Lonchura striata: one gene and its partner. The protein of the gene in region 2 interacts with the protein of the main gene of each other region in a biochemical or structural test. Links are inferred from orthologs where the notes say so. Each region holds a gene or a part of one and is shown on either strand. Other genes may lie near its edges.

What was found.
Region 1: the proteins of TNKS2 (region 2) and LNPEP form a complex in vitro, tested with the Homo sapiens proteins (4 studies listed by BioGRID and IntAct, with this or other methods). The link is inferred for Lonchura striata from reciprocal best matches to the Homo sapiens genes TNKS2 and LNPEP.

Annotation. Positions count from the first base shown.
Region 1 is NC_134642.1:2,736,486-2,752,537, reverse strand, and holds the start of LNPEP (leucyl-cystinyl aminopeptidase), read left to right. Parts: upstream 1-8,891; 5' UTR 8,892-9,014; coding exon 9,015-9,033; intron 9,034-14,450; exon of another isoform or gene 14,451-14,622; intron 14,623-16,052. UniProt on the Homo sapiens protein: Release of an N-terminal amino acid, cleaves before cysteine, leucine as well as other amino acids. Degrades peptide hormones such as oxytocin, vasopressin and angiotensin III, and plays a role in maintaining homeostasis during pregnancy.
Region 2 is NC_134609.1:16,486,194-16,502,642, forward strand, and holds the start of TNKS2 (poly [ADP-ribose] polymerase tankyrase-2), read left to right. Parts: upstream 1-8,489; coding exon 8,490-8,694; intron 8,695-13,745; coding exon 13,746-13,970; intron 13,971-14,899; coding exon 14,900-14,995; intron 14,996-15,642; coding exon 15,643-15,679; intron 15,680-15,987; coding exon 15,988-16,063; intron 16,064-16,449. UniProt on the Homo sapiens protein: Poly-ADP-ribosyltransferase involved in various processes such as Wnt signaling pathway, telomere length and vesicle trafficking.

The DNA of each region.
Region 1 (16,052 bases), on a different chromosome or scaffold from region 2:
GATGTTCCCTTGACTACCCTTGACATTATGTGCTGATTCTATTGCATTTTCCTAGTATTATATCTCTTCACAGAACACTGGTGTTTCAAAATGCATGCTCTGCATTCCAGACACACAATTCTATCAAGCATCATTCTGTTCTGTGTGCATCTCCTGGTATTCATGAGGGTTTTGTAAGATTCCCTCCAGACATGAAAAGTACTTTGAAAGTTTCACCTACAGCATAGTCTTACAAACCTTCTTATAGCCTTTATACAGTTCTCTTCTTTCAAGACACTGATATTTTTCCAAAGTAGCACTGGTGAGTGCTAAACTTCTCAGAACAGTGAGCACAAGTAGGCTGCTGCACATACAATCCAAGACGTGCAAATTCCGCAGAAATAAGACTACAAGACTCTTGGATGTTATTCACAACCATCTATTTTATTTTCAATAGATATGCCCTTCCTAAGACTGTTGAAGGGACTGTAACTGCTTTTGATCACTTTTTGCTGTGCCACTGTGGATGACTCCAGGATTGTGTGAAAAGTTCAAAGTTGTACATTTCAAGTGAGCTGTTCTCCATACACTGTTCTTAGGAGCTTGGTCCAAGGTTTCTGAACAGTAGCTTAGGTTTTCTGCCTAGTTTTCCTATACTGTTGAGCTTAAAGATGAAGGTGAAGAGAGTAGAAGAGAAAGAATGGCATTTTAATTATGATAGGGGCTGATAAGTGCAGACATGCTGTTGGTATTTTGGAAAACAAGCTAGGATATTGCAACATCAGGTTAGTAATTGCATAAGCATACTTATAGTTAGTTGTTCTAGAGAATGATTGCCTTGCTTTGTCTTGCCTTGCCTTCTCCTGAGTTGGAAATGTGCAATGGACTATCCTAATTCACCAAATCATGACAATTAAAACTACTGTGAAACACAGAGCTCTGTTTTTCCTCTCCCTGATGGCAGCTATGCTGGAGACATGTTATTGAATCATAGTGGTGATGATTCTGTACTTCCATAGAAATGATCTGAGTGAGAACTGAGCATATTCTTTAAACAAGTGTTTTATTCCCATCATTTCATTTTCAGGAAAGAGCAATTTTTTCACTCCCTCATACCAGTCAATGGGAAAGCTAGTCATCAGTGTGGAAATTAGGGAGTTAAATCATTAGCTTTCATAATTAATTGTAACAGTACTGAGGGTCAATGGAGCTACGTCAGTCTACCCATTCATATCAACAGTGTGGCCTGTTAACACTATAGTATACACACAATCTTGAGAACTGGGGTCTATCTAATAAATTTTCAAAAATTTGTGTATTTAAAGTATTGCATAAAGAAATAAAAGTAGACAGGACTAGTTAACCCTGAGTCCATAGGCAGACATTTAATATTATTTTTTTCTTAAATAAGTTATGTCCTATTTCAACCTTCTGAGTTTTTTTCTTCTCTGCGACACTATTTAGTTATATTGTATGACTCAGACTCAAAGGAACTACTACAGTTCCTTTAAGAAACGTGTCAAGAAAACAAAGGGAGCACCAACCACTTTATAGGAGCATGAGAACTTCAGTTAAATCCCCTCAGGAAAGTGAACTACAAAATTAATTGTTTTTTTAGTTCAAGGGCTTGTCAATACTTGAAAAGTATTCCAGAAAAAATGTCATTCAGTACTATGTCTTACACCCAGAAACAGTTTTGTACATTAATGGTGCTTTCATTCATTACTGGTAATTATTCCCTGCATTTGGAGCCAGAAGTGGGAGGATTACAAATTTCTAATTCCATATCAAGTTTTGCTAACTGATAGTGGTACCTGTCCTGTAAATTATGTTGTTTTTCAGCTATTTGGATTGTGTATTGGGGCACATCTATATAATCTACTGGGTCAAAGTTAGCCTGACCAAATGGCCAGTTTTTTTTAAATTAATGTTTTGGTACACCACCTAGAACTACCTTTCCCATCTGCCATCAGCTGCAAATTTCACGTGCCTGTGTGTGCGAGATCATATTTCTTACCCATGAGGATTCACGCCATTATTTTGTGACTCAGACTGCATTTACTTTCTCTGCAGACATCTTGTAAACATATTCTAATAAGAAGAATCACATGAAATTAGTATTTTCTAATGTGGTTGTGGATAAAATCTATGAACAGACATTTTTCAAAGGACAGACATAGACTATAATTTTAATATCAGCAACAATTCTATAACTAATTTTTCACAATAGCACATAACTACCATCAAGCAGCAGCACAAAGGCCCCATTAAGTTCAATCTACTGCTTAGAACGGATAACAGGAATAAAAAGAGGCTAAAGGCATTAAGATGTAAGCATTATTAGCATTAGCATTCAGCATTAAAGTATTACCATTTAAGCATTATTCCTTAAAAGAAAGAAAATAAAAGGATTGTATTAATACCTGAAATTGTTTTCAATTTTTATTTAAAAACTTAGTAGAGTAATTACAATGTTTGATCAGAAGCAAGGATATGTCTCTTCAACACAGTGTTACCAAGTCATTTGCTACCTGCCTTTCTCAAAGATTTGTTCTTGAAGAAACACTGCCAACATGGGGATAGACTTTCAGTGAAATAAATACACCACTGAAAAATTCACCACAGGCAAATGGAAAGAACTCTAGTTTCTGAATATATATTGAATTAAAGCTCAAACACCACTGGCCAGACTTTATGCTTTCTTGTCTTGAGATGCTGTAAGTTAGAGTACCGTGGTTTAATAGATGCCACAGACATGTGCACCTTGTTTAGTGTTTAGTATGTTCTCTCTCCTTTAACATATGCTGACTGAAGGCTGTATTTTTGTTGCAAGTAAAAGCTCTACAGTTAACTAAATAATTTAAGACTATGAGAGAACACCACTAAAGTATACTATTTTGCTACAGAAGTATTTGTCAGGCTGGTTTTGCACAATTTCCTTTTATAATCTTTTAGTGGGTGCAAGGGGTTTTGCCCTCATTGCCCTGTGCAAATAGAATCAAACTAGGGGTGTCGACACTGAGCACTTCAGAGAGGTGTATATATATGGATGTTTTACACCTACCATTCCACTACACCTTGTGCTTACTTCTGCTTTATGGAAGACTGAGAACACATCAACCAGGTTAGTACCTTACAGTAGGCATGTTCACCAAACTAAGTGTATCAGGAGCAAAGTTACTTTTGACTCATATTTCTCATATTCAATACTTGCCTGATTCACATCACTTAACTTTGTAGTACTAGACAAAGATTGACAAATACATTAATAAAAATACACAAAGTTTTTTTCACTGCATCCAATAAGTGGCTGACAATTTCAGGTCATAGCTCTTTGGCAGCTTTACAGTTTGAAAGGAGAAAGTAACACTATTCAGTTGCTTAATGGAGTACTTCAGAGATGAGCAGTGAGCATGGATGACTTCTTAAATTCCAGTGTTATTCTGGCTATAAAAGAATTAGATATTATGCTTGTATCTTATTTATTAATCATCCTGTTTATATCTTATTCATTAAGCATAGTAATTGAAGCTCTCAAAATCAGAACCATTGTTGCTTTACTACTGTTGCTTTACTAATCACTTAGTGTCGATTCCAAGAAGTAAGTCTTGTCAGTCCTAAATGCTTTGAAAATGCTCAGTGTGCATTTATTCTGGGCAGACTTCCTACTTTATTAAACTTCTGTTTTAGTGAATTAATTTACTACCTTTTTTTCTCAGTACTTAAGAATGGTTATTTTCAATGCTATATAGCTTCAGTTTATGGTGGATAAGAGAGACTGCTTCCTGAGCTGAGCTGACAATGCAATCACTGAAAAGAGAGACAAACATAGGGATAATCTATGGATCATGTGAAGAACAGAACCCTAAGGGGCAGACTGGCACAGACAGTTTATTACTGGAAGCAGAGGAGAATTCTGAGCTGAGGTTGCTTAGCTGCATGTTTATGAGCCCTCCTGTTGCTATTGTTATCCAGATACTTTGCAGATTCTGATAAAACTCTGTAACCCAAAATTAAATTATCCACTATTTTGGTGAACTAGTTTTCTGCCAGATTAGGCAGCTGAAAAGTTGAAATCAGCCTGTAGAGGAATATAACAAGCATTAGAGTTGGTGTAAGGTGCACAGTGAAACGTGAAGCAAGAACAGAGCAGGGAAAAGCAGCAATTTTACAAAGTGGCAAGCTGTTAGATATGACTAAATCATCACACTTAACTGTATCCTAATTTATTCTGCGGAAAAAGCAACTTTTGAATCACGCCCATAGCATTCCAGCCACAAAAATTGACAAATTACTTCTGTGCTACCTGGTGGATATACTTATAGTACATGATAGTTTCTAGCTAGTACATGTTTTTTTAAAGAAATGAAACAATAGACACAGGTCTTTAGAACTGAGATACAAACATGCTAGCAATATTCCAAGACTAAGAGAAAAATACACTGGATTAATTTTAGGACCTGAAAGTTCTAACAATAGCTTATTTATTTTTATAACTTAAACAAAATCAGCAAAGAAAGAAAAGCATTTATGGTGGAGTGACTATGACTCTTCCTTACAATAGCTTGGGGTTTTTTATCTGTAATGTAGCATTGTAATCTTTCCAAAGGCTCCTGTGCCACAGGTGTTTATTTCTACAATAAAATGGGACTGCATCTTGGGCTAGGCACTATGTCAAAGCTTTGTTCTAGGCCACAAAGAAAAAAGAGCTTTCTGGATTCTAAGAAAGTACACAGTGGTCTTAATGTTTCTGAAAGAGACACGGCAAGAGGCAAGGTAAGTGTGTGAATTTAACCAGACTCTATTAAAAAGAGGAACATGTATCTCGGAGGTATTGCTGAAAGGTAGGTTGTAAGACAACACAAAGCAGATAGAAGTGACACTTCTGAGGAAGCAGCTGCTTCTCCTAGCAAGAATCTGCAGTGAACTAAGATATGTGAAAACAACCATGCCTCATTTAGCTCCACTATTCACAAAATTATTTTCTTTAATTATTGAACTGGTTACCCCTGTAGAAATAGATAGATACATAGATAATGATATTTATTTTGCAAACATGATGCTATGGATTGCTTGGGACAGTACTCTGTGCAAAAAGTGGTTGCAAGTGGTTGTAATTTGTGCTGATAGGGGATGAGGATGTCAGATATGTTCAGAGTGGTGAGTGGTGTGCGCACCAAAGAAGCAATTTTGGTTTTAAATAGAAAAATACATAATCAGGAAGAAATTAACATATTGATTAGCAGTATTAACCATTTAGTCAATGAATAAAAGAACTTCCCTATTCCTAATCTCTCAGCTCAAGCTTTAAGCACAAGTATTTGTTCGGACAATTTTTTCATCTTCTTTTAAGGTTGTCAGACAAATGATTCACTAGTTCCACACCTGAGTCTGGGCAACTTCTGACATGTTTTAGCAAGACTGATGAACCCTTGCCTTCCAGCCCCTGGAGGCATGGCAGTTTCTCAGCTACAAAGCTTTACTGTGTGTTGTTGCTTCTTACGTGCAGATCCGGTTGAAAACAATTGAAAACTTTCCACTGGGTCAAAAGAACCCAAGTGTCTACTGACACTTGTACTGTTCATGAAATCTTCATTATGAAAAAAATAAACTGGAAAAAGACAGCCTGAGTCATGTTTCCAGGTGTCTAAAAGCTGGAAGATCTAAAGCATTCTTTAGAGATGGCTTGTCTTCAAAGTTAAAAAAGGTGCAGGGTTGCTGGCAAACATATTTTAACCATGAAAAGGACTTAATTAGACATTGTTGAATGGAAGCTGCCAAATTAAGGCCTAATACAGGTTATTGCAGATGCTCTAAGGATATATTTATGGCTTTGAGCAATTACAGAATTGATTTATTTATCCTGCATCTTAAAAAAAAAAAAAAGAGCGAAATAATTGTGGCAATAGTTGACTTAGAATCTGAAAAAAAAGAAATAATTTAAAGTCCTTCACTCCTACAAATTACTCATAAGCTATAACTAAAATCTGTATATATTTTATAATGGAAAGGACCTGTAACTTTTAGACACTTTTTAAAAAATCGTAATGTAGAAACTCTAGCTTTTTACCAACACTAGCAAAGATGGACCTTCACATCCATTAATTTTTTTCCTAAATGATGTTATACAAAACTACGGCAAAACCCTTATTCTTCTACTATAGTACAAACAGTGCTACTGTGAAATGAGCTCTATACCTGACTTACTCTGTATGACTAATTCCCACTGTGTTATCTTAAAACTTGATGTTAATGAAAAATCTGGATATGGAAATCTCTGCACATGTAATAGAACATGATCTTATTTTAGCTTTTTAGCTTCCCAAAGATGTATTATACTAATTAAGGATTTTTGATTGGCAGAAATGAAGAATGGTGAAAGCGTGTGATGAGGTGCTCAAAAAACACCATTCAGGCCTCTCTGCATGTCACTGTGTAGAATCCCAGCAAAGTTAGCTGCATAGATACTGTTTCTCCAGTATATTTAAATATAGGCCAGACAGGGTTCGTGTTTTGAAAAGAAAGCTCTAGAGACCTGTCATCCTATTAAAATAAATTATTTGGTGATTTCATAATTTAAATAAGTTTTTCTTTTGACAATGGGCTGTTGTGATATGTTAAGGGATGTCTGAGAATATGTAAATGGTTATTAAAACTCACTTAGCTCTGTGCCAACATTAAGGCCAGTGTTAAACTCCAAGGATGTAGTGTGAAAGATGACTTTGACCTAGATTGTGCTACAAGGTTGTCACCATAACTAAGTCTGTGAAACATGATCATCAAGTGTGAAAAAGTGCACTTCTAGGTTTGTGAATCACAGAGAAGAGGAAAAGGACTGCGCTAGCAGCTGGGTTCTTGTGGGCCCCTAGCCCTAGTCCCTTCTTTACTCAAGAAACAATTAACCTCTTTTTAAAAATTATTTTTAAATAAATATGGGACATTTAATTTGTGTTAATTGGAAGTAATCAATTTCCATTTTCTCCTTTCCCAAAAATCAGTGTTTAAAAATTTCCTGTTTTAAGAAAAAAGCTTAACCAGTCAGGTAATAGTAGGATCAGAGCTGCAAGGGAGCAGGGGGCAGGTAAGTCAGTAAGGAGGCACACATATATTGAACACATATCATTTATATATGTTCTTTTTGCAGGTTAAGTATAGATGGCCTGGCCACTTTGATCCACGTCAGGAAAATTTTATCCCAAATTGATGGCATGTGACATATCACACCATGATTCCTTTGCCATCTCTACATGCAATCCCTCCCTAATGCCAAGAGGATTGCAGTGGCTTTAGGTTCACAGTGTTCACCTTCAATTTTATGGCTCTTTTTTGATGTTCAGTCATAATCACAAGCTTTTGTCTCTCATGTCCCATCTCCTCTGGGGGTACAGGGGGTGGCAGCAAGTATTACTGTCACCTATCAACACTTAATTATAGGTAGTAAAACACATTGCAATAAAGACAGTAGTACAAGATGCTATGTAGTTATCAAGTATTACACAGATTACGATGTTACAATGCAATGTGCTTTACCAGCAAACATGTACAAAATGTCCACAGAAGTAAAAAGTGCCCTGAAAACCATGGGAAGTCCTCTCCTTAAGCTGGAGAGACCCAGGGCCTTCGAAAGTTCACAGCTGCCACGATGCCACTTCCCACATGTGTCAAGCAGAAAACCCATAAATACAATATTTGCAGCATTTTTGAGTTCCTGAATTTGTTTTTGAAGCTGTTTTTACTGCTCTACTTTTCCCACAGCAGCCACTTCTAATGATGTTTCAACACTTCCATATTTTATGGTGACATCCACCGTGGATGCCTGGTTCTCTTTCACAAAAACCAGGTCCATTTTGTAAAATTATTTTATACAAATATAATAATTCATTGTTTTGATCTTCTGTGTTTGGTTCCTGGAACACTATCCAGTCTTTCTTTGTGGCATCATTTGGCCACATTGAACACAATTGGTTCTGCGTTTTGATTCTTGTGCCTTGCACAGCAGAACACTACCTGGATGATAAGGGGATTATTTATTTAAATAAAAAGTGTTATGTGTAGTAGATATAATTCGTGCCGTTTCTAGTATGATATATGTGATATTTAATATTTGGAGTATACACGTTTGTATTAGAAGTCCCCCTCCCACCCTCACAGGCAAAACTTGGTGTTATGTTGAAACCCGATTTTTAAATAAAAGGATGTGGCTCAGCCAAGAGATGGGCCATGTCTGGAGGGATACGGGGACATCATCGCGTGAACGACCCGAGATGGATATCATGGAAATCCTCGGGCAAATACATGTGAATGCAGTGTTCAGTAAATTTCATCAAGGGATTCAACAACTCCGTATACTGAATTGTTCTTCCTCGTAACCAAAAAAGAAAATCTTATTAACCTATGGACTCTGAATGGAAGAAAAGACTGACTGCTGAAATCTTGGCCTCAGGCGGAATTTTCCCTATAAAAACTGCTTGTGCCAGGATGGAGGTGTGTGGGCATAGAGAAAAACCTCTGCTGAGGCTGACCTCTTTGTTGCACACCCAGGGCCGACCCCGGGCTCGGTGCTGCTCTAGACAGAATTTGATTGCAAAATAAATATTTTATTTTTTCATTTTAATTCGGCTGGACAAATTTTCATTTATAACAAACGCGCGGTTAAACTGCGACGGCAGGCGCGCGGCAGGGAGCTGCAGGCAAAGCCGGCCCGGCAGCATCCCCGCCGCCGCGGCCCGGGCCCGGTGCCGCCGCCGTGTCCGCCCGGTGCCGCGGCTCGCTGCCGCCGGTCCCGAGCCCGCCCGCCATCCCCGGCGTGAGGCGGGCCCGTGCGGCGAGGAGGCGGCGCCGCGGGCCCGGCAGACGAGGAGGAAGCGAGCGCGGAGGCGGCGGGGGGTGGCCGGGGCCGCCTCGCCGGAAAGCTCCGGAGCAGCTCGGGAGCCGCGGGCAGGGGGCACGGAGTGAGCCCGTCCCGGGAGCATGCGGCGGCAGGAGGAGGAGTGAGGAGCCGCGGCAGCGCCTCCGCGGAGAGCTGCGGGAGGAAGATGGAGCCCTTTCCCAGCGGTGAGTGCCAGCGGTGCGGGACGGGGCCGCGGGGCCTCGCGGCGGAGGAGCTGCGTGCCCACAGGAAAAGCGAGAGCCTTCGTCGTCTTGCTGCCCCCGCAGTCCGCGGCTTGAAAATTGTCTGAGGTTAATTAGGGCTAGCTGGCTGGCAGGCAGAGGTGAGAGGAGCTCCCTCGCTTTCTCGGCGCTGTTGCGCTTCTCGCTGCCCGGCTCGCCGAGGCCCGTGTACGCCAGGTGTAAAGTCGCCCTGCGTGGCCCCGCTGCAGGAGCCTTGTAGGTGTCTGCAGTTCCAAAGCCGTCATAATTCTGATGGGAAGTAGGAACCAGACCCGCTGCTCGTGGCGTTTTCCTGACCGGGGCATTATACCCCCCGCCTCCCCACCCCACCCCGAGCGAAAGGAGAAATAAAATACAGAAGTGTCAGCGGTGTACGAAATAAGTGTTTTCAGGGTGTTCATGAAAGCCAGAAAGCTTTCAGAGCTGCCCGTGCATTGACAGAAGTGCTTGAAATACCGAGGTGGTTGCATATGCTTAGAGATAAGCTGGCATCGTGATACAGCCGTGTGTGTGTGCATCCTTGGCTTGTGCCTGAAATAAGCCATGAAAAGTCCGTGTTGCTTCTGCCTCTACTAATAGAATTCTGCAGAGAAGGAAATGAAGTTCTCAGATCAAAGTGAAACTGAAGCGTGTTTGGTTAGATTCACGACCATGGCCAAATATGGAATTAGACAGTGGGTAAAACAACAGCCTTCCGGCTGAAAACGCAGCACTTTTGTTACAGGTGGGATTTGGTCTGTTGAATGACAAGCATGTTGGATAGCCATTGCTAAAATACCAGGTAGAGTTTGCTGTGTCGTATTTTGACTACACACAGTGATCTGCCAAGTCAGAGGCAGGTTTTTTTCTGTATTTAGGTCTTTTCTGTATTTATGTCAATTTTTTAAAATGTCAAATCCATTAAAAAAACCCCCCATACACTAAAAAATAAATTTTCTGTCTCATGGCAAGGGGATTGCCACTGGATGATCTTTAAGGTTCCATCTAATCCATTCTATAGTTCTATAAACCATGTTATGAATCTATAAATATATCCTCATTGCCATGCATTTCCCTGTTCTCAAGCACATGAAATATCTCCTATGATTTGATGCTGCTGTTTAGAATCTTAAAGAAACTGAAGGTCATGAGCTCTGGGCATATTTTGGTGGCATAGCTAGCAGGAGAGACTTTTTCCCTCTTTTTTTTTCCCCCCTCTTTGTATTGTCATGCTAAAATTACAGTTTGTACAAGCAGTTGATGTTTTGGCTCTCTAGATAATCCTGGCCTGAGTAAAAGGTCTTTCAACTACGGCCTATTTCAGTCACAGGGTTGTATTCTGCATTCGTGTATGCATTGTAGAAAGAGCTTGTGTTTAAGAGTAATGCAGTTTGGGGGAGAATTTTATTTTGAAGTCATCTTGCTAAGGCCATTCCTTTTGAAAGAGATGAAATGTTTTAAAGGCCTGTTTGACATAATGCTATTCCTGCACTGCGTAACAAAACATTTCAAAAATGCTGCTCCATGCAACTGGAAGAAATGGACCTGTGTGCCTTAGCCTGTAGCTTAAGGTACCAAGAAGCAATATTCATGCACTAAGCTTCCTGATTTTGTTTCCTGAAATGAAAACCCTGCAGATGGTGGTAAGACTGGAAGAAAATTTGCTGCTGAAATTGGTCAGTAAGTTTCCTCCTGAAAGCTGGCTCTGCTGGAATGGACACCACAGAGAATCTGCGAATATTAGAGCAAAAATGTTGCTCCTTAATTCTGATGCTCTCGAGGCATGTTTGGTGCTCAATGGCAGCTGCAAAAATCTGAAGTGAAGAGGGTGCTTACATTATTGGCTTTTTGAATAGAATTTTCATTTTCATGCCTGGTGGTCTGGAACCTGTGGGCATAATATTTTTTCAGATAAACTGTGTTTTTGTTTTGTCTTACACAATACTTATGAGTTCTGTTTGTGAGTCTATGTTGACTTCCTGTGCAAAGTGCTGTTTAAATTCAGAAGAAAGCATGCCTATCACAGGAAGCTTACATTATTTTACTTGTAGATCACTCAGTTCTTTGGGGTTTTTACCCTTGTAAAACATGGGGAGGAGGGAACAGACTGGATCTGAAGATTTTGCAAAAGCATTTTAGTTGGATTCAATACCCTGATGCCCACTGGGCAAACTATCAGTGAGGCAATTTCTTTTTTTTCTTTATGGAAGTTGAGCTGTGTCAGAATGGGTGTGTATCTTAAAATAGACTTTTAAGGCAGCAAATGCACTAAAGTGGATATAAATTCCAGCTTTTCTTGTTCAGTATTTGGTTGGAATTTTTTTTCTTAAATAAAGGGAAAAAACACAGCCCTAATGCATTTGAAAAGTGAAAGAAATCCTTATTATCCTTTCTTTAAAATCCTAGTGGGTATGCTGAACTCATTACTGTTTGAAGAGCTTCTCCAGTGAAAATGCTCTAATAAATTTAATTTTTTTTTAATTTCTTCTCTCATCCCTGTACTGTAAATTTAGTTTTGAAGCTCTTTGACAAGATCTAGGCTGTGTCTTCCTCCTTGCCTAGGAATTTAGGTGGAGATGATGTATGAGGTCTCTAGCTCTGGAAGAACAGTTAATTGCATATTTATTTTTAGCGCCTGGAATAGTTGAGTTAATCATAGAATATCTCAAGTTGAAAGGGAACTATAAGGATTGTTAAGTCCAGCTCCCTGATGCTCTCAGGACTACCTAAAACTAAACCATATAACTAAGAGGGGCATATAGAAATTCTGCGATCTCTGGCAGGCTTGATGCCATAACCACATCTCTGTTCCAGTGACCAACCACCTTCTCATTGAAGAATATTTTCCTGATGTCCCATCTGCAGTTCTTGAAAGTTATGAGTGCTACAAAGTAGTAAATGTTCTAGAAATGGTTATTGGTAGGATTTTTTTTTTTGAGATTGATTCCTCTATTTTGCTTGACTGTTCTTAATTTGAGATTTTTCCCTGAGAATGAATAATCAAAGTTTGATTAAAAGTTCATGGAAGTCTTCCTTATAATTGTTGCACATAATCTTTTCCCCCTAAATTGTATGGTCTCCCATTCCTTTGAATTCTGCTCTGAATCAATGGGCAGAATTTATTTATTTTGACTAGTCATTTGTTACCTAAACAGTTTCAATAAAATTTAAAGAAAGAAAACAAACAAACAAAAAAACCCCAAAGAACAACAACAAACAAACAACAAAAAAAAACAACAACCAAAAAACCTGAAAGAAGTGAAATACAGATTAAAGGGAATACGTAATGTAATGTTGGACATCAGTACAAATTATTTTGCTAGTATTTAGCTTATTTTTAGATTGTATGTGTTTCTGAAAGGTCATTTAATAATTTCCTATTTAATACATTAAATATGTCACTTCTCTACTTGACACAGAAAAAAGAGATAGAAGTGAGCTATTACAGAGATTTTCATTTAAGACCGGTGACATGCATGAACTTGAAACTGTAGATGGGATAACTTGAAAGGATCTGAAGTGCAAGTAACACTCACTTTCACTAACATTCCTGAGTTATTTTTATCCTTTTCATACACAACACATATAATCTTTGATATTAATTACATGACTAAATTGGTGAACAAAATAAAGACTGTCATGGATAGAAGTGAGGGGTTTTTGGAAAGTACAAATAAACCAAGTTAGGTAATGTTCTTGACAAAATTAAAATGTCATTTGCAAAGTATAGTTATTTCAGGTAGTTCCTGTCAATTCTAAAATGTTTTTGTTCTTCGTGTTAATTTTGTTCAGTACAGAAGTATATTGGAGATTGCAGGAGCATGTTCTTGTGTGCATAGCTTTAATTCTATTTGGGACAGCAGGCAATGCCTTGACTGCCAATGTTTTACAATGTTGTGCTATGGAGCAGAAGGGTTCCTTAAACTGTTACTCAGTCCTTCCTAAACAACAGACTGAGTGGTTGTTTTTTTTTTGTGGTTTTTTTTTTGTTTTGTTTTTTTTTTTTTTTTTTTGTATAGTAGTAGATGGAAAACATCAAAGAGGTCTGTTTTTAATGTCTTTTTTTTCTGTCCTGTGTTTTGCCTCTTCCATCAGTTATTACTGGAAAAAAATACTTACTTGATCTGTTCCCGAGTGTGAGTTCTACGTTGTCCAAGCACATTGTGCTGGGTCATAGTTTTCAACAAGGCCATGTTGTAGTATCTGTGCTTGTGTTCCTGTGTCAGCTCAGCTGAACAGGAACCTTTTTTTCAATGTATTGGGTATGTGTTTGATTTTACTGCTTTGCTGTGAACTCCCTGCCATGCAATGGATGTTCAGAAGGGGAATTCAGTAACTTAAAGAATGTCTGAAGATGAGAGTGTAGGTGCTCACTATTGATCATTTGTTAGTGTTTTTCCACTAAGCAGTTGGTCTTCACTTGCAGAATGAAACTGTGGAGTATCTGTGTGTTTACTTCATAAGTAAAAAATGATGAAAGCTAACCTCAGTATCTGCCTGTAAAAGTGTTCCATGATTGTCTTCTCATCTTTTTTGGGAAGATGATGTAAAGTTGAGCAAACATGTTTCACATTGCCAGGGCTGTGTGAATGTGTGCTACACAAAGCCCTGGAACGACTGCCATAGAAAAATAGTAGAAACAAATAAAAGCAAGGATAAAACCACCTCTGTTTGTTTCACTAGTCAGAATACTTTTTTCATATTAGACAGGCATTGGTGTAACAATTACATACAAAGAAGCTGAATTTATCTTTATTTAATGCATCCTCTGATTAAAGCAGTGCTGAAACTCAAGTTTCTCATATTTTACTCAGTGATGTAAGAAAGTTCAGTGAATTTACAGTTCTCCTGCACAATTTTTTTTTCATTAAGGATGAAAGGAAGGATTGTGTAGCAGAGCAGAAACATTAAGTTTTCTTTATGATTGGGAGCAGTGTTATTCTTTTGTCTGTCAGAGAAATATATGCATGGCAACTGCTGCTTAGACTTCTGTCCAGGAGTATCTTAAAATAAGATCATATTAACTTCTAAAATAAACCAGAATCTTGTGTGGTCTGGGTTTTAATTGCCTCAATTAAAGAGTACATATAATACCTTCTGAAGTTGTGTTTTGATTACTTGTGATACTGCTTGAAATAGTGGAAGTACATTAACCTTTAATAATCACAAAAAGATTGTGTGCCTTCTTGCCCATAGAAAGGTGGATACTCCTGAAGGATATTTGGAGTAAGGAGGGGAGGGAAGATGCCTGGAAAACTCATCTGGCTGATCACAGAGACGGGAATTTCAGGGTAATACGGCGTGTTGGGTTCTGCGCAGTTTGTGTCCCTAGGGCACAGCTGACACTTCAGTGCTTCATGAGTGTTGTCTTAAAATAGATGTTCAAGGAAGACCTCAGAGCCCAGCTCTTCTCCTGGATTATTCAGGGCGTGCAGTAGTCTATTGAAGCAGAGGTCTTCTTTACTACATCAGGTGGAGAGTGAAGAAGTGGAATCCTGATTCCACTGAACCACGAGATGCTTTTAATCAGCTGTTTGTTCGTGTGGAAATAAGGTGAGTTTTGATTTTGGGATTTGTTTTTTTATTGCAGTCAAAACTCTCACTAAGATGTTTGGAGGAGTGTTTCGTAACTAAGCATAACTGTGTGCAGAGAGCTTCCCCTTGGTTGTAATTGCTCTGACATTGAAGGAATATATTTTGTTAAGTGGAGTTCTTGTGTAAAAATACTTCTACCACAGTGCCATTGGCTTTTATGGAGAATTGATTGTGTTCAAAACTAAGAATGTGCCTAATTCACCCTAATTCACCTACTATTTTAGGGCCTAATAGTGATTTTTATTTAAGCCTTTCTTTTGTATAGAAACTGACATTAGTAGAACCACATTTACTGGTTTTCATGCATGAAAAACAAAAGTTCTGGACTTCAGCAAGACTTGTGTTAGTGGGAGACCAAAATGCTTTGGTATGCTTTAGAGGCCTCATACTTCTGACTTGTAAACCATTATAAGAGAACAACAAGCAGTAGGTTTTTAGAAAGTGGGCCTGTGAAAACAACATGTATAAACTGTCAGTTGCTGTCAAAACCTGTGCTTTTTATCATTGATGGAGATATTAATGATGCTTTAGTGTCTCTTTTGGAACAAATGAATGATCAAAAGTGTCTTGTTATATTATGAGACTGAAAAAAATGCAGATAGATGTATTTTTGCTCTGTTAAGATGATATAAAACTTACCCTGTCAGGAGTCATAGGCAGTAACCTCTAGACATTGTTGTGCCTTGCTTTCTGTGAACTGAGCTACCAGTTAGGGAGCAGTGAACACGTAATGTGTGCTTGCGACCTGTTTGGTATGGTTTGAGTTGTCATGTGGGTATTCAGTAACTGTAGTAAGCCAGAAGGCATATTGGGTTGCCTCTGTGGGGAGTGAGTGTTCAAGACAGGAGGATATGATTCCATTAATTTATTGCTAAAAGCAAACATGAGAACGAAAAGATTCAGCAAGCATCAGTTTGTATATAGTACGTCAGGTTCTATACCTGTTAGATGTTTCAGAAAACTCTCAAAAAAAATTTTTTTTTCAGAACAACTGGAACCAGCAGAGAGATGTTTTGTATCCTCAGCTATGATGAACCTAGTGTTTATCAGACATGAAATTAATGGACAGGTGTTGTGAAGAGGATAGTCAGCAGTTCTGAATGTGGGAGTTGAGTAACTCAAGCAATCTGACACACAACTTCCTGTGTGTCTCTTCAGATTCAGGACCTTTTCGTTAGAACCCCTGTGGTTAAACATTTTATGTGATTTTAATTGCAAAACATGCCTTTGGTAAGACCAGAAGCAGGAAACTAAAACAACCATATTTTATAATTAAAGCCAGAAGCTTCTTTCCTGTACGTTTTTTGTTCAGCCAGTGGCTGTGGGTTGAACACTGCCTCAACCTTGTGGAAGGTTTTCCTTCTCAGTAGTAGCCAAAGAGGAAAGTG
Region 2 (16,449 bases):
TAAAAATTCAAGGTCTTCTATTGATTTTAAATTTTTGGTTTGAAACTTTTTGACACATAATTCATATTATTATGTTTATGGTGATATTATCACATTATTGTGTTTATAGTGATTTCTCTTCATTCAACTTCTTTTTCCCTAAACAATGGACAGAAGGCAGGGTTTCCAAATGGCACCATGTTGTAAGATTTATAAAGGATGCTTGGCATCAGAATTAAAAAGACTATCAGACTTTGCCATTACTCCCAGTAACCACATACCCAGCTGCTTTGCACAATTCCTCTGGATATAGACACAGAGGGGCTATATTAAGCCTTGTCACAGTATGAATTTGGAACCTCTGTCCAAAGAGTATAATGTCACCTAAGCTTTCACATTTGTGCTGGGAACAGCTAGAGCAGAAGCAGGAGTTTAAACTAGGACACTGGCAGTTTGCCTGAAGAAAAATCAAACTGCCAATAAATCTTCTGTGTAAAGTATTTGGACAAAGTGTAGCTTAGAAATTAAAAGGAATCAGTAACTAGGCAATTTCAAAATACAAACACACAGTCTTGGATTCCCTGATTCTTTTTCAAGAAAAAGTATATTTCCAAAGCAAGTCAGTAACTAAAGGTTAAATCTGATTCCTCTAGCTGCTTTCCTAAAGGAGGAGCTTCAGTGCTGTGCCAAGCTGACTTCTGTCCATACATACAGATCTGAGTCTTGAGCAACTCTGTGAGCTTGGCCTGTGTGTGAGCATAGCTTGAATTTCATCCTTTCTGATCAGACTAATAATAATAGCAAGGCTATTACTACTCCATTCTGCCAACAGAACTATTTAGGTAGTTTTAGTGTCACTTTGCAGAACATCTGCTTTTACTTCACTCCTTTTTCATTCTGGAATTAACTCTTACCATACCTACAGTTAACTCTTCTACCATCCCAACTGGGTAATTACCTCAATAAAAAATACAAGATAGCTGTAGAAATGCTGTTTTGCAAGAAGTGCAAAGTAGTGCACACTTCACATAACAGTGTTGAACTCCCTGCCCATCGTCCATCCATCCTCCTGTCTCACCAGTTCCTTGCAGCCTGCAGCCTTAGTGGCCCTGTGCAGTGTAAGCCACCAGCTCACACCATATCTTAACCCAAGCTTCCAAGTCAGCATCTGCTGGACAAGGATGTTGCTTTAGAGAGTGGTCTCAGGGTGGCCATTAATGCATAATTTAGATTTCACCATATGGTTTCCCATAGCTTTTTTGAACAATGTAAGGTAGCATGAATACTTGTTTCATTTCTTACTATACTGAAGCATGATGTTCTGATTTCTGCTTCTTCTCTTCGGGGATTTATTAAATATTCCTTTTTAGAATGTTATGAGCTCAGCATCAAAGTACATTATAAATCTGTCCAGAAATAAATAACACAGTGCTGAGGAATGTTAGCTAAGGGAATCTATAGTAGATTTATTTCTTTTTCTCCCACTCTTCTGCCAGTGCAGAAGCAAAGCCTTCAGATTCTTCTCCTATCCTAAAGGGACTGGCAGTTGACCAGCTTAATTAGCAAAGCTCGCTATGTAAGTCAACATGACTACTCCAAATATTCCAAAACTTTGCTAGACAGAACTAGGCCACGTGGGAAAAAAGTAACTAATTCAGCTCTTAGCCAAGGTGGGCTACACCTACAGGACTCTTTGAGATCTCTGCTAAAAGCAGACCAGTTCTCCCCCACAATATGGTATTACTGTGCTGTTAGATGCAAAAGACAGTTTCTGATTCACACTCTCTATAGGTAAATCCAACTTCCCAGAACTTCCCTCTCTGTGTTACCTGAGTAGATGCCAAGTGAGAATTGCTCAGAAATGTACAATTTTATCTTATTCCAAGTTTGTTTTGCTACAAGCTCTTTTGGCTAAATTGGAGGATTCCCACTTCCTCCTGATTTTTCCTTACTGTGACTTCTCTGTCTCGGATAAAATGAACACAGGCATTTATCAGTTGTTGTGGTAAATCGGCACCAAGTCCTCTCAGATCTTTGCTACAGCACCGACTGCTTTTGGATCTCTCAATGTAGCCATAAAAAGGGAAACTGATATTCCTAATAGTATCATCAAATACTGTTAGTGTAATGTGCCTGAATGGAGAAGAAAACCCTTGAGCCATTTGTGCATGCACTCTTATCAGTTCTACAGTGCTCTACACCCTTCTGAATGCACAGCTGACTTTGCTGGTTGTGTCAAACTGACTCAAATGATCATTTGTTTGCCTACCATTTAAGATTCCTAGTAACTAGCATGCATTCCATATATTTTTTTTTCCAGGAATACTATTTCTCTTGGATCAAATACAAATTAGGCCAACTTGTATCCAGTGTTTATCTGTTGCAGATGACTTCTGTTTACAAGCTAAGAGGGCCACAAGAACATCTGGCTCCTATCATCTAGAGTGCAAGGGCTATTCTGGTCCACACTGAATAGTTTCAATGCAAGGACAGTATTGAGGAAGACAGCAGTAGCTCTGCTCCATGAGCTGTCCAGACAGCAGAGAAAGGATCATCAGTGAAATTGTTTCTGAAGAAAACCTCTTAGTTAGTAACCTAATGTCAAAAATGCTATTTTGCTGTTAGATCTTGATTTTTGTGCACACATATTGTGTGCAGAGATAACATTTCAAATGTCTTTAAAGTTTTAAGATCTTCATCATGCCCACTTCTCCACACCAGTCTAACCTTCTATTCAGCCATTCGGTTTCCAGTTTGAAGTTGTTCAAGTCATGAGGCAGATCTGGAAGTAAAATAGGTTCCCACTGGACATTTTCTGGGCAAGTGAGGTAGGAGACTCAGTTTGGTATTTCTCATCTTGAAGACCAAAGGGCCTGGCCAGATGAGGCAAAGAATTTAAAAGGAAAGAGAGAAGGATGACCATTCATGCTCCTGGAATCATTCCAGAGAAATAGAATCTAAGATATATTTAGTAATCTTGCTGTTGAAATAAAATCTTGTGTAACTCCACCTTAGCAGCAATATTTAGCATTTATGTAATCATATAAAGTAAAAATGACCTACTTTTTAATTATAAAGAAACATATTCAGTAACCTCTAAAATATAAAAAGGAAAATTCTCTATTTCCCAAATAGATAGATCTTCATTATACAGCATTATCCTATACACTAAAAAGTATTGCCATTTAAAGAGGAATTTATCAGGTATTAGGCATTGGCTGTACTGGCCAAATACCACATATCGAGCTAAATAATCACATTCCCAGGTGAAATTTAGCACCTTTTACTATTTTTAGGCAGTCAGAATACATCACTGTGTACCCATGCTTTGAGAGTCACCATAAGACCACATTTCAACAATCAAAGCATGTTTGATAAAAGAAGAAAATCAGTAATTTTCTAGACTGAATGGCAAAATTATCTTCCATGGATAAATAAAGACATAAATTATTGCTATAAGGCTTCATATAAACTATATAGAAGAAATCTTAGTTGTTTATAATAATTAGAGCATTTTAAAAGATCACAGAACTAATCCTAGAATAAAATGCCTGAATAAAGTGCTTAAAATTTTCTCTCTCTTGCTAAAAAATAAAAAAAAAATCCAGAGAAAGGCTGTGTATACACATAAATGAATGGTATGTTTGAACATGTTTCCTACTTTCTGTTATTCAGTTAAAAATCTGTATAAATATATTCTTCACAGTCAGTCTTAGGAATTTAATGTTTTAATGTCTGACTTCAATATCACTGTAATGGCATTCCTTCTATTCATCACAATTGCTCTTCTGAATCACTGCCATGGACTACTTTTCAGCAGGAGCTTTCCATTAGAAATACTGAAACTCACTGGACTTGACAACTATTGCTTCATGGTGAAACTATAAAAACTTCTTAAACTAAGTAACTTTTTCTTAGGCTGAAATCAAGAATAGCCTCATATTCCTATTTTTTACCCTGGACTGTGGAACTAGCTGTTCCAAGAAGCCATCACTTGAATTGTTGGGAAATTGCCTCTCAAAGATCTGGCCTGAAATAACAACTTGACAATCTATGTGCAACTATTTGGAGTGGTACACTACTACTTCCTTAAAAAACACTACATTTAGTTTCTTTGCTTTCCTTCACACTGCCTGCTCTGGATGGTATTTACATACTATGGGCAACCAATTTAGGTATCCAAATTAAAAGTATAGGTTTTTTATGCCATCAGTGGAAAGGGGAACAGTGCTTCAGAGGGCAATTAAAAGTAAAACACTGAGAAACCTGCCTGCTTTGGCAATTTCTTGGAGGACCTGGACGCTTCTGTTAAAGGCCCAGGACAGATTGTGAAGATGTCTGAATCTCCACAGAGCCTTTTGTATTTTTTTACATTTAATTGGGACAGAAAATAAATACTGAAATTTGTTAATAAAATGTCACTTGAATTGCAATTTAAATGCATGGAGAGTCTTCCGCTATTTGTTGGTTGCTCATTCTAAATATTCTCCCTTAGGATGATTTTTCAAGCAAATTGCTCTTTCCCTATTACTATCTCAGTCAGTTCTACACAGATTTTAACCTAATTAGCCCACACTTTTTCTTCTTTTGGTTGGCTTCAGAAAAATGAATTTCATGGCTGGACAGATATTCTGGTTTGCCTTCACTTGCTTTTAGCATTTTCATATTATTATACCTATTGAAGGTACAGATTAATCTGTTTTGCTGGCCTCCCCAGTCAATGCTGATCTTTGGCCTGACTGCTCCTCTGCTGTTTGTGGTTTCTTCCCAATAAAAAGTAACAACTTCCCAGGCCTCTGCCATGTTCTCCTGCTGGCATCCTGTGTAATTCTGCTTTGCATGCAAGGAGCCTACACTTTTAAAAAAGCTCTCTGTCATCCCAGAATGTTCCAGGCACTATAGAAAAACATACAAGAGCTCCATTTAAGCCCTCTGGACATGTTTCTGTCTAGCAATTTTTGACAGAAAACTGGAACAATTTTAAACAAATCACAGGCATCCTGGCTTTTCTTTTCTGTGTAATCTAGTTTCCATGAACTCTTAGACACTTATCTGTGCTGCTGATGTCCAGAATGCAAGCTTCTCCCTAGCACTTAAACGAATCTTCTCTAACTTCTGCCCCCACAGCTGGTCATGAAGCTGCTGAACAATTATCTTGGTTACTGCATAAACAGGTACAGGATTTTGATAACTTAATGGCCTACCATTACAGCTTGTGAACAACTGACAGGGTATCCCAATCTCCTATAGGGACCACGTGGCTTTGTGCTTGCTCCTCTCTGAAAAGCTCAGTCTCTCAACATTTCACCATCTCCATGTCTCCTTTCTTTCTTTTTAATCCATTTGTTATTCCAGAACAACATTTTATAATTATTACACTTTAGCCCCAGCTGCTGGTAAAATAAAGGAGGTACATATAAAACACCAATAACTACACATGGGTAACTGGCAGAGAAAAAGAACCAGTTCCTGCTTGTTCAAGAGACATAGCCAAAGTAATTGATGGATAAAATAAGAAGAGGAATGGAGAAAGTTTCTTTAAAGATCCAGTATTACACATATTTACTGATGTACAGCCTGTACTGCTTTGAGTTTGCAGTGAGCCTGTATTTCATAAATTGATATTTTCATTTTGAAAAAGAAGCTTTCACTGAGAAAGTTGCTATTTATATATATAAAAATATAGTAATAAAACAACAGATCAAAATAAATATAAATAAGTAACCAAAACAAACCCTTTTCTTCATAGAATATTTTATTATTTCTTGATGTACACATTCATTATCCCTGGTTTGGGCTTTTTTTCCAAGTCTCATCTGGAAATGTTTCAAATGGAATAAATTTTAAATTATTCTCCTTTTGGAATAAGCTACATTTCTGAACTCTTGAAATGTTCTATTTATTCCAGAATTTTACTTTGCTTCCAAGAGCAAGGCAAAGAACTTCAGGGAACAATTAGAAAGAACTGGAAAATCCTCATAACATGAAGGGCTGACAGCCAAAAATCCTAAATCTGATGGACTGCCTTGCAGATTGGCATGAACAATGTCTCTCCCCATAAGTAAACCTTAATCTCCTAAGCAGAAAGGAAAATAATTTATTTTTAAGGCTGCTGTAGTCTTTCCATGCCCAACAATCCCTCTTTTTCTTTCTTTTTCTATATCTTTCTCAATTTTTTTCTTTTTCCTTTTTTGACCCCGTCATTTTTTTCTATTTTTTTTCCTTCCTTTTTATCTCCTTTCCTTTCCTGCCCCCTAGTGACCAACTAAGCATGTTCCTAAACAAACTGAGCACTCTTCCAAAATACTTCTGAAAGGAATAACAGTGAAATGTTTCTGAGCTGTTCATGCCTGAGCCTCTCAGGCTGTGTTAGTAACAGGTGGGTTACAAACCTCCTGCTGCCTCTAGAAAAGTCCCTACCACATGTATTGGGTGGGATTTGGCATATATTTCAGATATGGTTTCCTAACCATGCTATTGTACAGAAGAACAAAAATACTGGATTTTGCAGATTATTTTCTCATAACATAAATAAATTACATTAAAAAGGAGAGGTGTTTTTATGTTGAATCTCAAAAATCACTATGAAGGCTATTAATAACTAGTCCTAAAATATGCTGAGAATCTTTGCTTCCTTGAATTCAAAGCTAATTGAATCCTGCTCTTACAGTGTAATTTTTCAAAGTTGTTTCCATTCATAAAGACCTGCTGTAGTTTCACACTCAAGCTATAATGAAGACATGCTGGAAAAGGAAATCAGGCTGCAAATAATTTAGAATAATAGTACCTTTTGGGTATAGTGGTGTGGAGAGAAATGTAGAATTTATTTCAGGCGGTGCTCTTTATAATCGTGCTCCAGCAGAACAGTGAAATATTGTTCTGGATTTCAAATTACTGAGAAGACCTGAGGAGCAGGATGTGTTTGGATTTACACAGGTACTTGCACTTCCACACACTTCTAGATACAAAGTCCCTTCTTTAATTTTAAAATGAAAGTAGTCAAGTTAGTGCACTTGCTACTTCTGCTGTGGGCCCAGAGAAGGGTTTATGAACTCAAAAGCTTGTATAGCTTTCCAAACATGTTAATGGTGACAATAAAAGATACAAATGGCAGCATTTCAGGTCCTGTTTTCAGTCTGTGGTGCCTGCAGGCAGGAAGGGAAGCTCTCATCATGCAGACTTTGGAGAAGTTGGGAAGGTCTGAGAGGCCCTATGAGCCACAGTTGATGACAGTTTATGCAGGAACATTATGGCCCCATGCAAAGCAGTGGATGAATTATGTATGTGTGGGACTCTGGCTATTCCCTGCCTGCTGAGCACAGCTTGGAATTTCAATGGAGGCACAGAGAAAAGCCAGTGGGATTACAGGAAACACGCATGACCAAGGCATCACATTTGTCAGTGCATGTGGTTTGTGCCCTGTGCTGGCTGCATTCTTCTGTCACACTGCTGTGGCTATGTGTAAATTACCAAACTGAACAGGACACAGACACAAGCATCAGACCTTGATCTGTCACTAGAGCATGGTGACAGCCTGGTATAGCTTGTAGTCTCCCACAAAAAATTCCTGGGTGCAGTTTAGGCATTAGCATGGACCAGGGAGAGAAAATTTGGATGTAATTGCCTTGTTTCAGGGACAGGGATGTTTGACAGAATGGAAGACTGTGCAAATGTGCTAGATCCTTTGCCTTGCACTTAAGTAATTTAATTTCCTAATGTGACAGCAGCCTGAAAGTTGAATTGAGTTTGGAGGTACTCATCTCTGCATTTGCAACAGGAAGCTACTGACCCTATTCAACTACCTTTTCCAAAGTGTTTTAATATGGTGTGAATAAAAAAACACATTTCAGAATTATCAACTGAATTCTCTTCTAGTCAGTCCCATCTGGGCTCAGGCTTCCCCCACCAAGCCAGTGAGGTTTATTGCGGGGCTGCGGGGAGAGAGAGGACAATTTCTGTTCTCTTCCAAAACCTTGAACTGGCAAAGTCAACTAACAGGTTTTTTAATATCTGTTTTTCGACATTAATAAAGAGAACTATGCTATTTATGTTGTATAATTTCCATTACATAGTTATTTTGCAAGCACTGAACTTCCTCGGAGTCACAGTATTTTCCTATATAAGCAACTGTGCAAGGATCATGAAGCCATTGGCACCCAAATGCAGTCTTCCACACTTTGCGGGGGGGGGGCGGAAATCCCTGAACAGAAACCCCTACATTTAATTACTGAACACAGCAAAGGCACATTTGTTCTTCTGGGGCGGATCGCTAGTGCTGTACTTTGTTGTGCCCCTCACGGCCCCCGCCAAGGGGGCCGGTTACGCGGGCCGTGTGGGCGCCGTCCCGCTGTGGGCCGCAGCCCCGCCGCCGCCGCTGGGCGGCTCCCGCGGCGCGCGCCTGCGCACGAGCGCGGCGGTGCCCGGATCCCTCCGCCGGGCGCAGCGCCCGCCCGGGAGCGCGTGCGGAGCCCCGCGCGGGGCGGCGGGGGCTGCGCGGGCCCGGCCCGGCCATGGCGGCGCGGAGGTGCGCGGGCGGCGCGGCCGCCCTGGCCGAGGCGCCGGGCTGCGGCGCGGCGGCGGCAGAGCCGGCCCGGGAGCTGTTCGAGGCCTGCAGGAACGGGGACGTGGAGCGGGTCAAGCGGCTGGTCCGGCCCGAGAACGTGAACAGCCGGGACACGGCGGGCAGGAAGTCCAGCCCGCTGCACTTCGCCGCAGGTACGGGGGCAGGGGGAGCCGGGGGGCGGCGTCGCTTGCCCGGGGCGCTGGGCCGGGCCGGGCCGCTCGGGCCTCGCCGCTCGGGCCGGGTGCAGCGCCGGGTCCGAGCGCTCCGCCGGCCCCTGAGCATCGCGCCCGGCCCCGGGACCGAGCCCGTCTCACCCACGCGGAGGGGTCGCCGAGCGGTACAGCTGTTCCCTCCTTTGCTTTTTCTTCCCCCCCCCCCCCCCCTTTTTTTAAAAAACCAAATCTCATCTGGCTTTGAGGACACATCTGGAGTGGGGTTTATGCTGTTCGTGTTGTGACACGTGAGCTCTGACAGGGACACTTGTCCCACGTACAGTTCTCATGGATTTCAGCGGGCCTGTGCATTTTTAGAATTGAACGCATGAAGGAGTTCGTCAGATAACACCGTTTCTAAGCTTTTTGCGTTCTTATCTTTGACAAATGGACTTTGTTAATTCAGGACGTAAGCAAACAATTGACGTCACAGGACAACTGCTTTCACTGGCAATTGGCCAGAAGATTGTATCCCACCTTTTCAGACAAAGACCCGACTGTGACTGTTGTTTCCATGTTGGTTGTTTGGTTTAATTACAGCCGTAGATGTTGGACTCTAAGGCTGACAGTCTGCAGAAAACAACAGCTTCTTTTCAGCTAATCAATATGGATAATAACAAAGATGTTTGTTTCATTATTAGATTGTCTTGGTAAAGGTTTCTGCTTCGGGTGTCCTTTCCTCATGTTAAAAGAGCTTGACTCAGGCTTAAGAGGTCTAAGTTCTTGAAAGCCTCCTCAGAACAGCAGTATTTCATAAATTCAAGAAGCCTAATCGGCAAGAGAGCTCAGGAGACAAAATATCCTGTCAGAGGAAAACAGTTTTTGTGGCTGTTTTTTTATATGCATCAATCCTACCTGCCCACTGAACTTCTAAACAACTGTGTATGTTTTAGAGCATTTTGGAGAAATGAGGGGTTGTTTTTATTTATTTATTAGTTTTGGTTTTATTTATTTATTATGTTAGTTTTGGGGTTTTTTTGGCCTAAGATGTTTCTCATTCACTGTAATGATCTAGTTTATCTCTCTGAATAGGGGTGATCTGTCTTGACTTTATATAACTCCTGATAGGCAGAAAGATTTTTCTTTAAAAAATGCACAGCCATAAGTTCATGTAGTTGTTAGATTTCTAAAGTTAGGCAGGTTGGTGTGTAAATGGGAGACACTGCTGTCATGCACATGTCACCATGACTTGGTACAGAGAAATTAATTGTTCTTCTCAGGGGCCTGTAGGAGATGCTGAGGGTTTCTGGCTAAGATGGGACAGAAAACACTTGTGTGATTTCTTCATGGAACTCTATTTACTGCCTCAGGTCGAGCTCTGCTGTTGTCAGCCCACCTGCAGTAGGCTCTGTTTGAAAGGTGGACATAAGTCGCTCTTGGACTTGGGCCTGACTGGTTTTGTTTGGTTTTGCCTTTCCCCTATTATTCACCGTTGGAATAATACTCACTTCTTTTGTCTGTGCCTCTGAAGGAGTCACATTCCAGGAAGTAAAAGCAAAAATCTGATGTATTCCTGCTTTGTTTTTAAGTGTTCTTAGAAAATGCATTACAAAACTTCTCTGACTAGTTTCATTCAGTTGCAAGACTTCTTTTATGGAGGAGCTGGAGCTGAAATACACCATGTCACCATGTTTTTTATTGCTCTTTTTTTCTTTTTACTTGACACTCTGGATCTGAACCTCGGTTATATTTTTTAAGACTTTTCCCAGATCTTACCTAACAATTAAGAAAAAAATTCCTCTTTTTCCATGTGTGTGTTTGTAAAGGTGGATTTTGAAGTAAAAGGTGTAAAAAAAATCTTCAAGCTCTCCCTAGAAATGTGTCATTATCAGAAGTAATACATGTTGGAATTTTGCTGGAGCTTGCTCTTTGGATTTTGTAGTACACAACTGTGTGTGGTAGTTAAGTTATCCTGAAGGTTAAGTCAAGGGCCCACCACCCTTCACAATAAAAGAGGCTCCATCCTCTCCCCTCATAAACTTCATGTATTTCCTCAAGTCAATCTTTTTCATCACAGTGTGTGTCAAAGTCAGAAGTTTTTAAGGACTTGGCAGGTACCAAAATGCCCCTCTTGCAATCTAAATTTCATTAAAAATATGAACACCCAGGGTAGGGGAGAAGCATTTGAGCTAAGTTCTTTCTGTTAGCTTGTTATCCCATCAGAAGTAGCTGGATGTCAATTATGATCCACAGTGACTGTAAATAAATACCTTTTTAAAATTATACACACTTGTACATTTCTACTGTGATTAATAATAGCAAATTGTCGGCTGAAAATTTGTAACTTTCCAGGGAACAAGTGCAGTGAGCTGCTCAACTATTACAGGTGGGAGAAGAGTGTCAGCTCAAGGTCCTGAGTAGCCAGCCTTTCTTGTTGGCAATAAAAAACAAAGAGTTCATGATGATAAGACCATTACGTTGCAGTTGAAATGTGTAATCCCATTTAGGTGGTCTCTTGATAAAAGCACAAGAGCTAAAGAAAACACCTACCTCTTAAAAATTACAATGTTGGGTTTTTTTAAAGTGTTTAAACAGTTTTTACTACAGCCAGCTACTGGTAAAGAGGAACTGTTTGAGTAGGCAGTGACTGCCTTCCCGTGACAGCAAAGGCTGCCCCTGCTTTCCACTCCCAGGAAGAACAGCAGAGGCAGAGACCATTGTGCAGTTTGGCCACTTCCTCTGCACTCATGCATCCTTTAGAAAGTAATGGGAAAATAATTCCCCTTCCATATATGGTGCCCTGTTGTACAGTTGCTTCCCCAAGGAAGTAAGGAATCCCTGCTGTGCACTCAGTGCTGGAGAGAAGTTACAAAAATTGGTGTGATACAAATGAATTAATTTCATTACATTAAATTAGATACAGAGGTGTTGCTGTACTGAAGGTGCTTTCTGAATAGAGGCAGGCTTTGCTGAGGGAGGAGCTGTGGATTGCTCATGAATTGTGTCTGATTGACCTCTGTATTAAATAGAGGGAATTATCTATGCCTATAATAAGGTTTACTACAGCTGATTTTCAATTGTGATGTTGATTCCTGATGAGGAATTTTACTTGTAAAAAAGTGGCTTTACATCAATACTTTGAGGGATAGGAGTGTCTTCAGTACAAGAATGAGTGGTTTAGCTACCAGATATGTAACAAAGAATTTGGTCAGAGTCTTTCCTAACATAATTGTAGCAGTCCTGGAGAACATTTTTTGGTACTCAGAAGAAAATACCAAGCAGTCTGTCATGAAATAACAGTTTTGATTATGTATTTGCAGGACTCTGGCACATGTGAAGGTCTCTTTTGAGTAGTTTCTCAAAGTAATTTAGTACGTTTTGAGTATATAGTCAAACTATAAACAGAATTTGTTGAAAGCTTGAAGAAACAAAAAGAATATCAGGCCATATTTAAGAAAAATAACAGTATTTATAATACTTTGAATAGCTGAACATATTTAAGACTGAGAAACATGATACACATAATGTAATATAGACAATAAGCTTGCATAGGTATAGCTACTAATATTTTTTTTTGGCAGCAGAAATATGCTTGCATGTGCAGTGAATATGACTTACTGTGCCTGTGCAGATAAATTGGTTTTGCATGGACCATGTGTCTGATCCAGTTCTCATCCCAAGTATGCTGAGCTTCTGTTCTCTGTTAGAACAGGCAAGGTGGGTAAGTGGCATCGTGAGACTCAAAAGTGAATTTTTTGTAGGGTCTGTGGTTCTATCATAGGCAAGGTGCTAATAAGCTAAGATTTGTATCATCAGTATTGTATTTTGAAGAAATACATCACCAGTGTTTTGAGGAGGCACATCACCAGTATAGCCTTGTGACTGTTACTCGAAAACACCTTGAAGTTCATGCTGTGATTCAAAAGTTTGACATAAAATGATTGTTACAATAATGACAAATCTGTGGTGAATGTGGCTCCTTACCTGACTTCTGAGGGAAGAAGAGTAAAGTGAGAATTTAACTAAAGTATTCCTGAATACTTGTCCAGGCCTCTCTCTCTGATATATGCAGCTTGTCTACAAGACCTTCTCTTAGCAAGTGGGATCCGGAAATTGCTTAATAATGGCAATGGGTTTTTTGGGAGCTCCAGGTGGTGAAAGTGCTTCTTGCTTCAGAAGAGGGATTTACTGAAGTCAGGTTTAGTGAAGAGCATGGTATGAAAAAGTTCAGTCACAACTAAGCTAAGACTAAAAGTTCAGTTATAACTGAAATGCTGACACTTGTATGCTTTGGTGACTTTGTCACTGAAATGCTGTGTTGTTATCAGGAATATACATCATTTCTAGGTCATGGTTGCAAGGACTTAAACCTACCACGGACATTCTATGGGTGATCTGTAGCAAAGTTTAAATTCACTGCAATCTGAATATCAGTGGTGTTGGCAACTTCATGGTTATTGCCTCAGAGGGGCAAGCTCAAGACTTCATCCAGGTCTTGATCTGTTCAGGAAAAGAGTTTATAACTGAGATATTTAAAGGAAGGCACATGAGTTATTTCCCAGAAGGTACTTGGCAGAAGACTGATACATACTAAAATATGGCTCTTACCTGCCCTAATAATTGCTGAGACCCACAGAGACATTCATGGAACCTTAAAGGTGGCCTTTGGAACATAACCAGATGGGTATAATGGCTACAAGCAGAAATCCTAAAGCATTCTGGTCTCATGTAGTAAAGCAAATATAGATACAGTTTGATGTCCTAGTTCATTTGCATACTTATATAAGTATGCAAGATACAGCTGAAATTCGAGGGAACCCTATCAAGATAGGGTTGTTTCTGTAATCTTTAATATTCCTTTTCCACTAATCTAATTTTAAGAGTTTGATAAACATCCTTAGTATGCAAATGGTTCTTTAGTAAACCATGCCACTTGTGATTGTCTTTAGGAGTGGTTACTGTTACTGTAGTTTGTTGGTTTAATCTGCACTTCTGGGGCAGGAATTTCTCTTACCCCGCTCTGAAGCCTTTTCTCCCTTTTCCCCTTCCAGGTTTTGGTCGGAAGGATGTAGTTGAATATTTACTTCAAAGTGGTGCCAATGTCCACGCACGAGATGATGGAGGCCTTATTCCTCTTCACAACGCCTGCTCTTTTGGCCATGCTGAAGTTGTCAATTTGCTCTTGCGGCACGGTGCAGATCCTAATGCTCGAGATAATTGGAATTACACTCCCCTTCATGAAGCTGCCATTAAGGGAAAGACAGATGTCTGCATTGGTAATTTTCTCCCACTCTTCCTGTGACTGACTCACTTGTTTTCACTGTGAAAAATCAAGAACCCTTTTAAGACTATTTTAACTCTATGGAGCTATGGCTGAAACAAGGGTTAAAAGTAAACATCTTTCAGAAACTTCAATTGATATGTCACTGTTACAAGATACAGGTTTTTGGATATTTTTTTATAATTGTCTACCTATAAAGATTCATCATGGTGAAGGTGCTCTAAAGTGACATGATGGAGCTAAATTCTCTTCTGTTTCAGCCTAGGTTTTATGCTGCCTTTTTCTTCTGATCACAGTGCAGTGGGAAGAACAAAAGTGATCTTAATAACTGATTCATTCTATCTTATGTGTAGCAGCTGTGTTAAATTAGTTAAGGATGGGAAAACTTCAATTATATTGACTACCTGTTTTACTTACACAGTTCTTAAGAGGAGCTCTTTAAAGAAGAGGTAGAAGGTTAGACATATAGTCAAGAAACATTTCTTGATTGTGTCGTTTGCTGTCATTTACTTTAAGAGAGCTGTAAAGCTCTCGAGAGCTGTACAGATAACATTGCCTGTTCAGCCTGAGTGCAACATGCATAGCCTGCCACTGCTATCTGCAGGTTAGGAGAGCACAGGATTTGGGACAGCATGCTATGGAGCTGATGGAAAATAGCTGCTGAGTTTTTGTGGTGGGTCAGTCACAAGCTTTCAACTGAGATTGTCTCTTGTCAGTCTGTGGTTGTTCTCTTTCAGATCTGCTTTTTTCCCTTAAAATGTGTCTAGACATTTCATCAGATACACTGGTCACAGTGCAGAATGCTGACATTAAAAATTTGATAAAGGAAGTTAGAATGTTTCTTTTATTGTTTGCAGATTACAGTAATGATAAACCTTGTCTTGTAGAATTGTTTTCTCATCGAAAACTTTGGCATTTTTGTAGTACTGCTGCAACATGGTGCTGAACCAACCATCCGGAACACAGATGGAAGAACAGCTTTGGATTTAGCAGACCCATCTGCAAAAGCAGTGCTGACTGGTAAGTGATAATCTTGAGATTTCTTTATTGCTAGTAACAGTTGAACTGATGTAACACAATAGTTTGGAGCTTGTCTTTTTGATACTACTTTAACTTGGCTCTAGTTTATAATTCTAAATAGAATTCCTATATGGCTTTCATCATCTCAGTCATGGCATGTGTTCTGGATAGTTTATCGTATTAGTCCAATAATGAACTGTCAAATTTTTAGTCATAGAATGGCTTAAGTTGGAAGGGACCCTAAAGATCACATCATTCCAACCCCCTGTCATGGGCAGGAACATTGACTAGACCAGGTTGTCCAGACCCCATCCAACATGGCCTTAAACACATCCAGGGGTAGGGAATCCACAACTTCTCTGGGCAGCCTGTTATAGTGCCTGACTACCCTCTGAGTAAAGAATTTCCTCCTAACATTTAACCTAAATCTCTCCTCTTCTAGTCTAAGCACATTTCTCTTTGTCCTCTCAATACCTGCCTGTGTAAAAACTCCCCCTTCCTCTTTTTTAAAAGCTTCCTTTAGCAACTGAAAAGAGTAGTTTTTAGTCCTTCTAGCACTTACATTCTCTAAAATTTTAGAAGAGGAAGATAAATAGTGAACATCACATATTTGTCTGACAGCTAAAGAAAACCCTTTTGTCTTCTAGGTGAATACAAGAAAGATGAACTCTTAGAAAGTGCCAGGTATGTATGTTTGGAAAGTAACTGGAATTAGTTATATTTGCAGAATTTTGTGTAAATAATATATAGATATGTAGTCTTTGGAACTTGCATTCCATCTAGATACAAGGCTTTGCCTGTTTTTTGTGACTGAAGCTATGAAAGTAGTTGCATAAATGTATTTTTGTTTTCTCTTTAATGCTGGCAATACAGAGGAGAATGTGTTGCTTCAAATCTGTTGAACATTATCACGGTGAAAAATATAAAACCAGAATAAGCTACTAAAGATTGGGATAAGAATACTTCTGCTCATTTCACATTTTGTTTTTCAGGAGTGGAAATGAGGAAAAGATGATGTCTCTTCTTACACCATTAAATGTTAACTGTCATGCAAGTGATGGCAGAAAGGTATTTTTGTTTAAAACCTAGTTTAAAAATAGTTATCTCTTACATGATCCAGTTATTGTTTGATGAGATTTTAAAAATGTTAAACATAAAATCTACTTTCTTCACTGTATGTGGAAAAATAAGATTCCACCTTTCTAGCAGCCAGCTGAGGTTTTATTGTTTGTTTTTTAATCTTGAAAGGACTATGCAAGTAATTCTGTATAGGAGCAATAAACAAACACCTTCTCAGTTGAAACTTCTGCTTGACCTCCATATCTGCAGTGATAAAGAAGCAAGGCCTTTTCACAGATTTTTAATCCTATCAGGGAGAAACACACAGGTGCTTTATTTGGCATGCACCCTTAGGCAAGTTACTGATTCAGGAGCAAGCTGCTCATTGCTGTAAG